Linked DNA regions of Neodiprion lecontei. The protein of the gene in region 1 purifies or fractionates together with the protein of each later gene. This does not show direct contact. Links are inferred from orthologs where the notes say so. Each region holds a gene or a part of one and is shown in the gene's direction. Other genes may lie near its edges.

The links. Proteins that work in one complex are often made in the same cells at the same time.
Region 2: the proteins of transcription initiation factor TFIID subunit 4 (region 1) and transcription initiation factor TFIID subunit 5 purify together in Drosophila melanogaster (affinity purification with western blotting; 3 studies listed by BioGRID). This does not show direct contact. The link is inferred for Neodiprion lecontei from reciprocal best matches to the Drosophila melanogaster genes Taf4 and Taf5.

What each region holds. Positions count from the first base shown.
Region 1 is NC_060261.1:2,569,395-2,574,057, reverse strand, and holds the start of transcription initiation factor TFIID subunit 4, read left to right. Parts: upstream 1-1,621; 5' UTR 1,622-2,183; coding exon 2,184-3,188; intron 3,189-3,874; coding exon 3,875-4,150; intron 4,151-4,663. Other genes in the region: uncharacterized protein LOC107216688, read left to right, coding at 1-149, 274-797. UniProt on the Drosophila melanogaster protein: TFIID is a multimeric protein complex that plays a central role in mediating promoter responses to various activators and repressors.
Region 2 is NC_060261.1:43,189,917-43,196,233, forward strand, and holds transcription initiation factor TFIID subunit 5, read left to right. Parts: upstream 1-1,884; 5' UTR 1,885-2,248; coding exon 2,249-2,311; intron 2,312-2,400; coding exon 2,401-2,586; intron 2,587-2,659; coding exon 2,660-2,862; intron 2,863-2,947; coding exon 2,948-3,144; intron 3,145-3,232; coding exon 3,233-3,437; intron 3,438-3,515; coding exon 3,516-3,635; intron 3,636-3,704; coding exon 3,705-3,850; intron 3,851-3,946; coding exon 3,947-4,084; intron 4,085-4,234; coding exon 4,235-4,428; intron 4,429-4,495; coding exon 4,496-5,002; 3' UTR 5,003-5,777; downstream 5,778-6,317. Other genes in the region: peptidoglycan-recognition protein SC2, read right to left, coding at 848-965; enolase, read right to left, coding at 5,808-6,129, 6,248-6,317. UniProt on the Drosophila melanogaster protein: TFIID is a multimeric protein complex that plays a central role in mediating promoter responses to various activators and repressors. May play a role in helping to anchor Taf4 within the TFIID complex.

The sequences.
Region 1 (4,663 bases):
ATCGTGGCGATCCATAGCTCTGATGTGTGCTATGGGATCCTGCGTCGTCGCTGCGGTGGTTGTCAATATGGCATTATACTCGCAAGATTTAAATATGCCATCAATCTCCACTGTTACAAAAATTCCCGACTCATCGGTAGACATTAATGGTAACGAACAAAATTTTCGCATATTGAATGAAGTTATGAACATATCCCAACGTTATAAATGCCTCGTGAAATCATTTTACATTAATTAAAAATTCTGTTTTTAATGTTATTTCAATTTTCGTAGGCCTCCCGTTGGGCACGATGATTAGATTTGTTACACGAGATGAATGGGGCGCACAGCCACCAGTGGAACCCGCGGCAAGGTTGAAGCATCCAGTCCCCTACGTGATCATCAGCCATACTGCAACTGATTTTTGCCACACGCAATCGTCATGTGTGTATCGAGTCCGATTAGTACAATGTTATCACATAGAATCTCGAAATTGGTGCGACATTGCCTACAACTTTCTGATTGGCGGGGATGGTTACGTATACATTGGCCGTAACTGGGACTACGTTGGGGCTCATTCGTACGATTACAATGCCAGAAGTATCGGAATCTCTTTCATTGGGACGTATAATACCGTCACCCCATCGAAACATCAGCTGCACGCACTTCAACAACTTGTAGACCTCGGTGTCACGACTGGGAGGATTGCAAGAAATTATAAGCTTTTAGGTCATCGACAGGTTTCCAGAACTCTCAGCCCTGGTGACGCGCTATACAATGTTATAAAAACGTATCCACATTGGTCCCCCACACCCTGACATTCTTCGGATCGATGAGATTCCAATATGTGCAAGGGTAGCAGTATACTCATTTATTTTTCATTTCTTTGGTATGGTGAATTTTTACTGGGAACTCTCAATAGGTACTTCATTTTTATTTCGTCTTACATATCTTATTTATTTCATGCCAATTTTTTGGGTAATGTAAGTGTATACAGCATTTTGCTACTAGTACTTTTTTATCATGTATTACAAGTCGTGTTGCATATCAAATCTCATTTTCTCCTCAATGAGGGGTCTTTTTCAAAACGAAAGCCTTGTACAGTGTCCCACATTAATGCCACTACTAGTGTTTCGAGTAAATTTAAAATATCAAGTATACACAGAATTTTCATGAATTAGTATCGTTGATATGAAAATATTGTTGTTCCTTGACTGGAAATGATTTTTAATAAAGATATTGTTTTGTATAGTTGTTATTTGTAATAGTTTTCAATAGTGATTTGATACGTTTTAATTTATCGAAATATTTAATAAAATTTGTCGTATGTAGAAATCGGATGATTGTAACATAGATATTATAATATAAAATATCTCGAGAGCAAATCATTCAAACAAAGCTTGTTGTAATAGCTATAACAGTCCAAGTTTTGAGTTGGCGTTTCGAAATTGCAACATTCGAAAGTGCAGCTGTTTTACCGGGCATAATAAAGGTGGATTCGCATGGCCGTGGCTTTACGTCGCAGTAATAATAGAAACCCTCCTGTATCGATGGGACAGCAACTGCGGCGTTGAAATGACTTTGTGAACGCACAAAGCTAAATCATTTGTATAAACTTACGAGTGTCCAGTCTCGTGTGATGAGTTAGTTTATGGTCAATTGTATTTCTGTTTATCGAATCATCAACAAATACTTGTGTTGAATGTTATCTGGAAATAATAAGAGAAGAACTAAACGAAAGAAATTGAAAAAGAAAAAACGAGAACGAAATCGACTACGCGAATCTTAAACTAATCGGGACCAGAAATGAGTTTGAAATGACTTATTGGTTGACTATTTCCGAGCTGGCCATTTTGGCGGGTGACGTGTTTTGGTGTTCTACTCATTGACATGCAGCCATATCAAAAGAAGGTGTAAAGGAGGGAAAGGCATTAACGCAAGGCTAGTAGGCGTTCACTGCGTTACGTAACGCGTAAAATGAGTAGCGTCGAAATAGCCGGTATAAAGAAGTAGCGAGGAAAAAACAAGAAGTAAACAGTACGAGGATACTATGGGGAATAATATCGATTTGCGCGTGTACTGCCCGATGGTAAACAGAAGATATGATGTATTCAATTTCCAGCTGCGCTAGGGGCAATGCACGATGGGAATAATTTTCTGTAGGCGCATGCGCAGTTCAGTTTACAGTTGGAGCTTGAAAGAAAATGGCGTCAGCTAAGTTTCTGGAGGAAGCTCTTAGTACGGACGTCGATGAATCCGCAGTAAACGCGATCGTCGGTTCGCTCGAGACGCAGTTGGTCACATCAACGCCGCCGATCTCAACCCACCAAGTGAACTCCGGTTCGGTTAATCAAAACCGTCAGTTAAACAGTGGGATTTCAAACGGGGGTACCATCATCTCCGCGGGACTGAAACATGGGGTTGCTAACGGCGGTGCTACTTCGATGAACAACCTGATATCCCAGGACCCGAGCAAGTCAATCACGACCAGCACCCTGTTGCCGGTGAACGTCGTCACCTCGAACACGATAGCGCATACAACATCGCAACAGCATCCACAGTCAGGAATTCCCGCTGCTGCCTACATAAACCAAGTCACAACCAATCAACAAACGAACATTACTAATATAACCAAAACACACGATCACCAACAACAGCAGCAGCAGCAGCAACATCAGCAACAGCAGCAGCACCAGCAGTCTGTCAAACTGGTGTATCCCTCACAGGGACAGACCATATCCACCACAGGTGTGGTTAACGTTAACAACAGGCTGTCATTCCCCACCCAAACAGTTGGCCATTTACCCAACGGCAGTCTAGGGGTGACCACGCAGACTGTGCTTCAGACTACCTCCGGCCTTGCTCACAACATCGGCTCTATAACACAGGCCAACAGCCAGTCCTCGGCTAATGTCAACAAGCAGCAGGGGGGTGGCACTGCCTTGGTTATAAAGACTAGCGCCACACCTGGGGGAATGGTTTCCGTCCCAATGTCCGTTCCCGTTTCAGTGGCTGGGAATGCCACCAGCACCACCCTGCAAGGGAAGGCTGGCGTCACTTCTACCATAGTACCTAGCAATGTCCAAATTTTAAACGTAAACACAATGAGGCCCGGTACTCCTGTCGCTGGACAACAGCAGGGCAAGCAAGTTGCCTCGAGGGTCGTCATTGGACAACACATGGTCGGTGCCAGACCTGGTGCACCCGGGGTAAGATGCTTTTTTAACGACATTTTCATTCATCATTTTCGCATTCATTTGCTCTTGCCAATATTTCGGTATCAACTTTTCTGCAATCCCTCCAATAACCTTGCAGAATATCAAAAGTGACTGGTATTTTATGTATCTCGTGTTTTTCAAGACTTATTTGTCAATCACAGAACTGTCTTTTTATTTTCTATTTTACAATAACCTTGAAACAGTTTCGCCCATTCATTCTTGCTCAAGCGAGCAAACCAAGTGTCAGCGCCGATTTCTGCATGTTTACAGTGAATCATTTTTGATGTGCGCAATATCGTTATTATTTTCATTTTTTTTTAACAATTTCCATTTTATGATCTCAAACGCAGATTCAGTTTATCGGCTATTCAAAAAGAAAAAATCATTATAAGTTTGAATAACATGTTACAATTTTTGTTATCTAGGGTTTCAGCTATGCAGAATTGATTTTTTCATCCGATGACGATTTCAAACTATATTTTAAGTAAAATACATGTGCAAAAGTTGCAAACTACCGAATCTTCTCCTGTTATAATCTTCAAATTCAAGGTTCTCAGTTTGCGGAAACAAATGGCCAGTTTATTCCTAGCAGCGATCGATTGTTAACGCATTCACTGTCAATGAAACTACCAGATTTTGATGAAACCGATTTAACATTTGGGAATTTGGCATTTCAGATAACACTGCAGGCCCTCCAAGGTCTTCAACCTGGAACCCAGGGACATCTGCTTTTGAAAACTGAGAATGGGCAATACCAATTGCTGAGGGTAGGACCGGCGCCACCCACAGGTACCCCTGGGGGAGGGAATGTCACCCCGAACAGTATTGCCGGAAGCGCAGTGGTTGCTCCGACCGCAGGCACAACTTATCGCCTAACCTCTGTGCCGGCTGTAAGTAGGCTGAACACTCAGTTCACTGGCCCGCCACTCGCCACGTTAAGAAAACCCATTCAGGTGACGCACACTCATAACTCGTAAGAGTCTCTTGATGTAGTGGCGTTGTAGATTTGCACTGTTTTATTGACTTTAGTTGATTGGAATAGTGGTTTTTCCTTTCATTTTTTGTCCTTTTTTCTTAGAAGCGCAATATACCGTGCATATCTTTGTTGGAAAGTGTTACAAGTCCAAGTTGGATTTATATTTTACTGTAAATTCAATTGTCAATTTGTTACAAGAAATACGTGGAATGATTCTTGGTAACCGTTTTCTTTCCTCCGGCAATGTTTTATTCTCATCGACGTAATATTTGATATCATTTTTAACTAATTTTCGTTGGACATATGATTTGATTTAGAATTTACGATAGATGTCACTCGAATGTTTTTCTCTGTATCGCAAGGTATGCATCACACTGCATATATTGTATCACTTTATTATCATTTTGTACTATTCAGGATATTTTTTTGACAGAAGTTTTTAAATTGCAAATTTTGCCTTCCTACTATTGAAAAGAAGTTTTCTGAATTA
Region 2 (6,317 bases), about 41 Mb from region 1:
AGTTTGAAACTATTAATCGTGAATTTCATTGACTTGACGCGATTGATTACGATACGAGAAACTTCACAAAATCTCGAAGAAAAACTTCGCACTACAACTTGAAAGTAACACTGTTTACAGTAAACGATCTTCATACCTGCATCGCGTTAATTACAAAAACTTCTGCTCGATTGTCGAAGATAAAAAAGTCGTGCCAAGGCACTGTTCTTAAAAGATGCCGTGAAGTACGCTACTGATATCAAACCGCAATTTTCAAACATGGATAAGGCCTGATAATCAAAGGATTTTTTTTGTGCCAGTATTAATCCTCTAACGATAACCTTTCGCGTGAATCAGGTGAGATCATAAAAACAACGCGATTCAATCAATTATCCTAAATCTGTTGAAAATTCTTATCAATGGAGTAATCGGAATGAATTACTGATAAAGAGGAACGTTTGAATCAGGTTGTTAAGTGCAGCGGGACTTCGTGCTATACTACGCGATTAATGTTTTTGTTTTGCTTTAGAAATATATTTTAATAGCAGTGCATAAAAATAGAATACTGTACCATCCAACTATTGAGACCATGCAGGAACATACTAGAAACTACTGATTGAAATTTTCAGGCATCAGATGACAAGGAAAATAGTTAACGCTGAATAAATTTTCTTCCGTGTACGGCCATGAGATGCGCACGACGAATGCATCTAATTTTCAGGGGAATTCCCAAACGCGTTGAATTTCCTATTTGTGTAACTCTAGCCGGACGAATTGTACCATTATCTATTTCATTTTCCGCGTTCAATATATTTTCGTTCAGCGCAAAGATGGATACTAAAAACAAGTCGGAACCAAATAATCTCACCCTTACTTGGTGTGGTGGAAATTGCTTCTTCGGAAAGTTTGATGGGAGTTCCAATCGCCAGAGAGCCGATTGTACTCAAGACCACAATGATCGATTTGTAATTAGCAAACCGACTCATGGTGAGGGAAAACTGAGAGAAGTGCGCGGACCGAATTATAGATAAAACTGGTGGTCAATGCGCTCACGCAGCCGCTTTTAAACTAAAAACTAAAGGACGCCGGGTATTCCCTCCCAATCTGATCGTAGGTTCTTTCAGATCTTTCCCCCTCCTCCCCCCCCCCCCCTCCGCCCCACCCCACCGCCGCTTAGTTCACGTGCTTCTACCATAAGCGATTAATCTCAATTACGGTATAAGGATGGCTTGCGATCAAAATCGATGTTCTTTGTGCAGTTTAATATTCTTGCACCTAGGAAACTATTCGTAGGGAATGATCCGAGGATTTCGAGCATTGAGTTGTGTATTATTTTCATCTGACGAGATCTGCCTCTGACATACTTTCCGAAGTTCAGAAATAATATACATGCTATGTTTTCATCGCTTTATCTAGAATTTTTATTTTCATTCTCGCTATGTATAAAGAACTCCATGATAACTGCTTCGCGTCTTGATAAATTGAAAATTTTTCTATAATACAAGTTTCGGAATATAAATGCTCCAGCATGGCTCGATATCGAAAAATTAATAGAAAGATGTACAGATGACTTCTGTAGATCATTACGTGGATTAATTGTTTCTCAAATATGTGTTAGGCATAAGAATTTCAATACATCATTTGCTATGTGAATTCAGAAATTTGTACAACATATGTACAAAATATGTTAGAACGTGACATTCTCATCAATTGTAAAAAAGTCTAAGGCAGAATAATATTGCTGAGCTTTCTTGCACAGGTAATTCTAAGTTGTAATTCGTGTAAGACTTGTGCATTTATAAATTCTGATTATTTACTTATAATTGTTCCCGTTTGATTGTAATTTTATTGGATTTATTTCTATTCTCTATGAAAAATTGTTAATGGTATGTTGCTATCCCTGGCAGACGATGACCTACTACTACCACTCCATACATTCAAAATCTAGATACTGTATGTCGGACTGGCGTGGAAACGTCCTTTTACAAGTCGGGCAGTTTCCTACGCCTGCTTATGATGGAAGCGGCAACCAGACACGCAGCTAAGTTGAGGGTGTATTTTATTCAAGGGGCATGTTTCGGAGTCACCATATATCTGACTGGTCAGCATCGTCAGCATGTTGCGTGTCACATGCGCTAGACAAATGGGGCGGCGAAATTGATCGTGTCTCCGGATAGCTAGCATCCTCGTTCGCGTCTGACGATTTCGATTCCTCGGATCAAAATTTAAATCACAGACGCGGTGCAGACGGGAAAAAAAACCTGCAACCATGGACAACGAGAAAAGCACAATGCTTGCAGTATTGCAGCTGTTACGGAAATACAATTTAAAGGTAAGCGTTGACTTAACCTCAAATTGCAAATATGACATGTAAACAAAACTGTACCGTCAGATTAAAATACGCTTCGGCTTTCTCCCCAGGGTACCGAGGAGTTATTTAGAAAGGAAGCAAACTTGACGGATGTTTCAGCTGAGGATAGTCAACAAACTGATTCTGAAGTTAGCAGCGTACTATCAGCTTACAAAAGCGAGGGTGATCCAGCGCTGTATGAGAAAGCCTATACCGAACTTAAGAAATTCGTCGAAGGAGCTCTGGATATTTACAAGGTTTGCGATAAGCGATCAATTCTTTGTGCATTTTTGTCCGACCTTATCTTACATTTACTTTCGCTTTCTGTAGCATGAACTTGGCACAATATTGTATCCGGTATTGGTTCACATGTACCTGGAACTTGTTTACAACAACCATTCAGGAGAAGCAAAACAGCTGCTGGAGAAGTTCAGTGGTAATTTGGAGGAATATTACCAGGAGGATCTGAAGCGATTGTCAAATGTCACAAAACGGGAACAGATTGCTGGTAATGAGCTGACGGATACTTTCAAGTGAGGATCAGAGCTATGGGGTTGATAAGAAAAGTAAGCTGTACAGGTAAATTTGTGACAGAAAATGACGATTACTTTCTTACAGGTCTAACCAGTTTATTATAAGGATGTCCCGAGACACGCTTTCCATACTCAAGCGGCATCTTCAAGAGAAAAAACATAGCATTTTGCTCAATATTATTCAAGAGCATCTTTACTTTGATATGTACGAAGGTGTCGCTCGGAACAAGCAACAGATTGAAGCAACGTCAGGCGCTGTTGTGGGGGAAGCTACGCGGCAAGGTATAATTTGAAAGCAATCAATGGTCTATGTCTTAAATTTGTTCAAATATCTGATCTTCAACTTCAAGGATTCCTTTCAATTCCATAGATAACAAGGCTAAAGTCTATTATGGGCTTTTAAAGGAACCAGATATTCAGTGCGTCCCGCCGGCTGAGGAAGAAGAAGACGATGGCGGTGGGGAGGGAGGAGATAAACCAAAGAAAAAGAAAGCAAAAAAAGATCCACTCTTTTCTAAGAAAACTAAATCAGACCCTAATGCACCTCCGGTCGGAAGAATGCCCCTACCAAATTTGTTAGTTTATTTTTGCACTTTGTTGATTCTAATCGATTTGACTTTGTATCGCTGCTTAAAAAGATTGATCGTATTTAGGAAAGATGCTGATAAACTGGAGAAGGTTAAAGCATTGAGAGAGGCTTCAAAGAGAGTGGTATTGGGGCCAGACAGTCTTCCGTCAATATGCTTCTATACTTTATTGAATTCAGTACACAGGTACGACTTATATTAAATATTTTAAATCATATCGATGATTCAATGACACTTTCGCTCATATAATTGCAGCGTTACTGCTGCAGAAGTCGCAGAAGATTCCAGTTTGCTGGCCATTGGCTTCAGTGATTCCGCAGTAAAAGTATGGAGCCTGGTTCCACAAAAATTAAGACTGATGAAAAGTGGGGATCAATTACAAGACATCGACCGCGAAGCTGGTACTCGCGACTCTTTCTCCTTTCAAAAAAATCTGCCTCTGGCTTTTCTAAGTTAATGTTTTTGCTGTTATCTTTAATCTGAATAATTCTCTTAAGACGATGTACTTGTGAGAATGATGGACGACAGGACAGCTGAATCGTCGAGAACCCTATATGGACACAGCGGACCTATTTATAGTTTGTCGTTTAGCCCAGACAGAAATTTACTACTATCTTCATCAGAGGACACCACAGGTGAGCATGACACAGTGAACATCAAGGTTCAGTTTTTATCAATGTATAAATATTGGTGATAATTGTCTTAAATATTCTACGAAAAAGTATCATCTTTTCTTAGTTTGCTCAACAATTTGCTCAACCTGACATTTCTCTTCTCGGTTCCAGTAAGGCTATGGTCTCTTCATACGTGGACCTGTGTTGTTTGCTACAAGGGTCACCTGTTCCCTGTTTGGTCAGTGAGATTCTCACCACATGGTTACTATTTCGCGACAGGTTCCCACGACAAGACTGCAAGACTCTGGGCAACTGACGCTCATCAGCCTCTCCGAATTTTTTCCGGGCATTACTCAGATGTCGATGTAAGTTGCATTTAATTAATTTTCGTACAATGCGAATCTAACTCCTTGTTGTCCTTTCCATCCTTAGGTCGTACAATTCCATCCAAATTCAAATTACGTTGCTACGGGATCCAGCGACCGGACAGTCAGACTGTGGGACTGTGTTACTGGAGGTCAGGTGCGGTTGATGACCGGCCACAAAGGTCCGATATATTCCCTAGCATTTTCCGCGGAAGGTCGCTTCCTGGCGACTGCGGGTGCCGATAACAGAGTCCTGATTTGGGATTTAGCGCACGGACATTTGGTCGCAGCCTTATCCAGCCATACAGCCACAGTACATTGCTTGTTCTTCAGTAGAGACGGTAATATCTTAGTGTCAGGATCCCTCGATTCGACACTGAAGCTTTGGGACTTTACCAAACTTGCTGAAGAAATGAGCTTGGAGGACGTTAACGTCTCGCATAATCCTGACGTCAAAACATGCGTCGAGACCTACCTCCTACGAACTTTTCCGACAAAAAATTCACCCGTTCTCACCCTCCACTTTTCGCGAAGAAATCTTCTACTAGCAGTCGGTATGTTCGAAGTATCTTAGACCAGTCCGGTTCTTCCAGTGCTCGCGATTGTCAGTGTGAATTTCAGAATGAGTAAGAGTTCATTGAACCTAAGTGTGAGGTTTAAAATTGTTTCATACTAAATGAACAATCCAGATCGAGCTTAATATTCATTTTTTAAGCTGTAACCTCTTACAATTCTATAAAATAGCAATATTTTGATAATTTTGTTAGATGTGTTATACTTCACAAAACTGTTGTATAAAATTTGGATCAGAGGTGTAAAGGATGCGAGAAAGAAGACAATACAACAAATTTAAATGATTAACGTTATTTACTCGTTAATTGCGAAAATGTATAGTATCACTTTACATTATAGTTTCACGAAATAATTACTCACGTAAATTCACAACGATTATTGTTAGATCAGCTTCATCGACCAATCATCTTCTAGCCCCTAAATACTTTAGCTCACTGAATAACACGGTATTATATTTTGTAATACATTTACATTAATATATTTATTAAATAAGAATCTACAGTAATGGGATGGATAAAATGAGAATTTTGTTAAAACTGAGTAATGAGCGTATGCTGATCCATGGAAAAGGAAAATTTTTCGCCGATAATACACAGCAGACTAGTACATTAAGAGCAGGAATATAATTTTTCATCGAATCTAACATTACAGGGGAATGCTTGCCTTGCGAGATTAGGTAACTGATTTCAAATTATAACCACGCATTATCGTTCTGTTCATATTTCCACATGAAAAGGCAGACCATTCTCAATAACGGTACGATAAAATTGTGATAGTACTTCTTTCAAAAATTTAGCGAGCTAAATTTAGGCGGTGGGGTTGCGGAATTTCTCTCCAGCATATTTCGCAGCAGCTCCAAGCTCCTCTTCAATACGAAGAATCTGGTTGTACTTTGCAAGACGCTCCGAGCGGCATGGGGCTCCGGTTTTAATCTGGCCGGTAGAAAGACCAACTACTAGATCAGCAATGAAGGTGTCCTCAGTTTCTCCCGATCGATGAGACACCATGGTTCCCCATCCGTTGCTCTTCGCTAGCTTGTGAGCATTGATAGATTCGGTAACACTACCAATTTGGTTGACCTTCAGCAGCAAACAGTTGCAGGCTTTGGAGTCGACAGCCTTCTGGATGCTAAGAAAAAAAATTTGATTAGTGAATAAGCAAAAAAAAAAAAAACTCGTCACGAATTTTATTGAAATAAACACAAAGTTTATGTTGAGAAGCCGAAGATATATTTGAGATAACTCACCGGATGGGATTAGTCACTGTGAGATCGTCTCCAACGATCTGAATAGGTGTTGCAGCAGTGATAGAGGTCC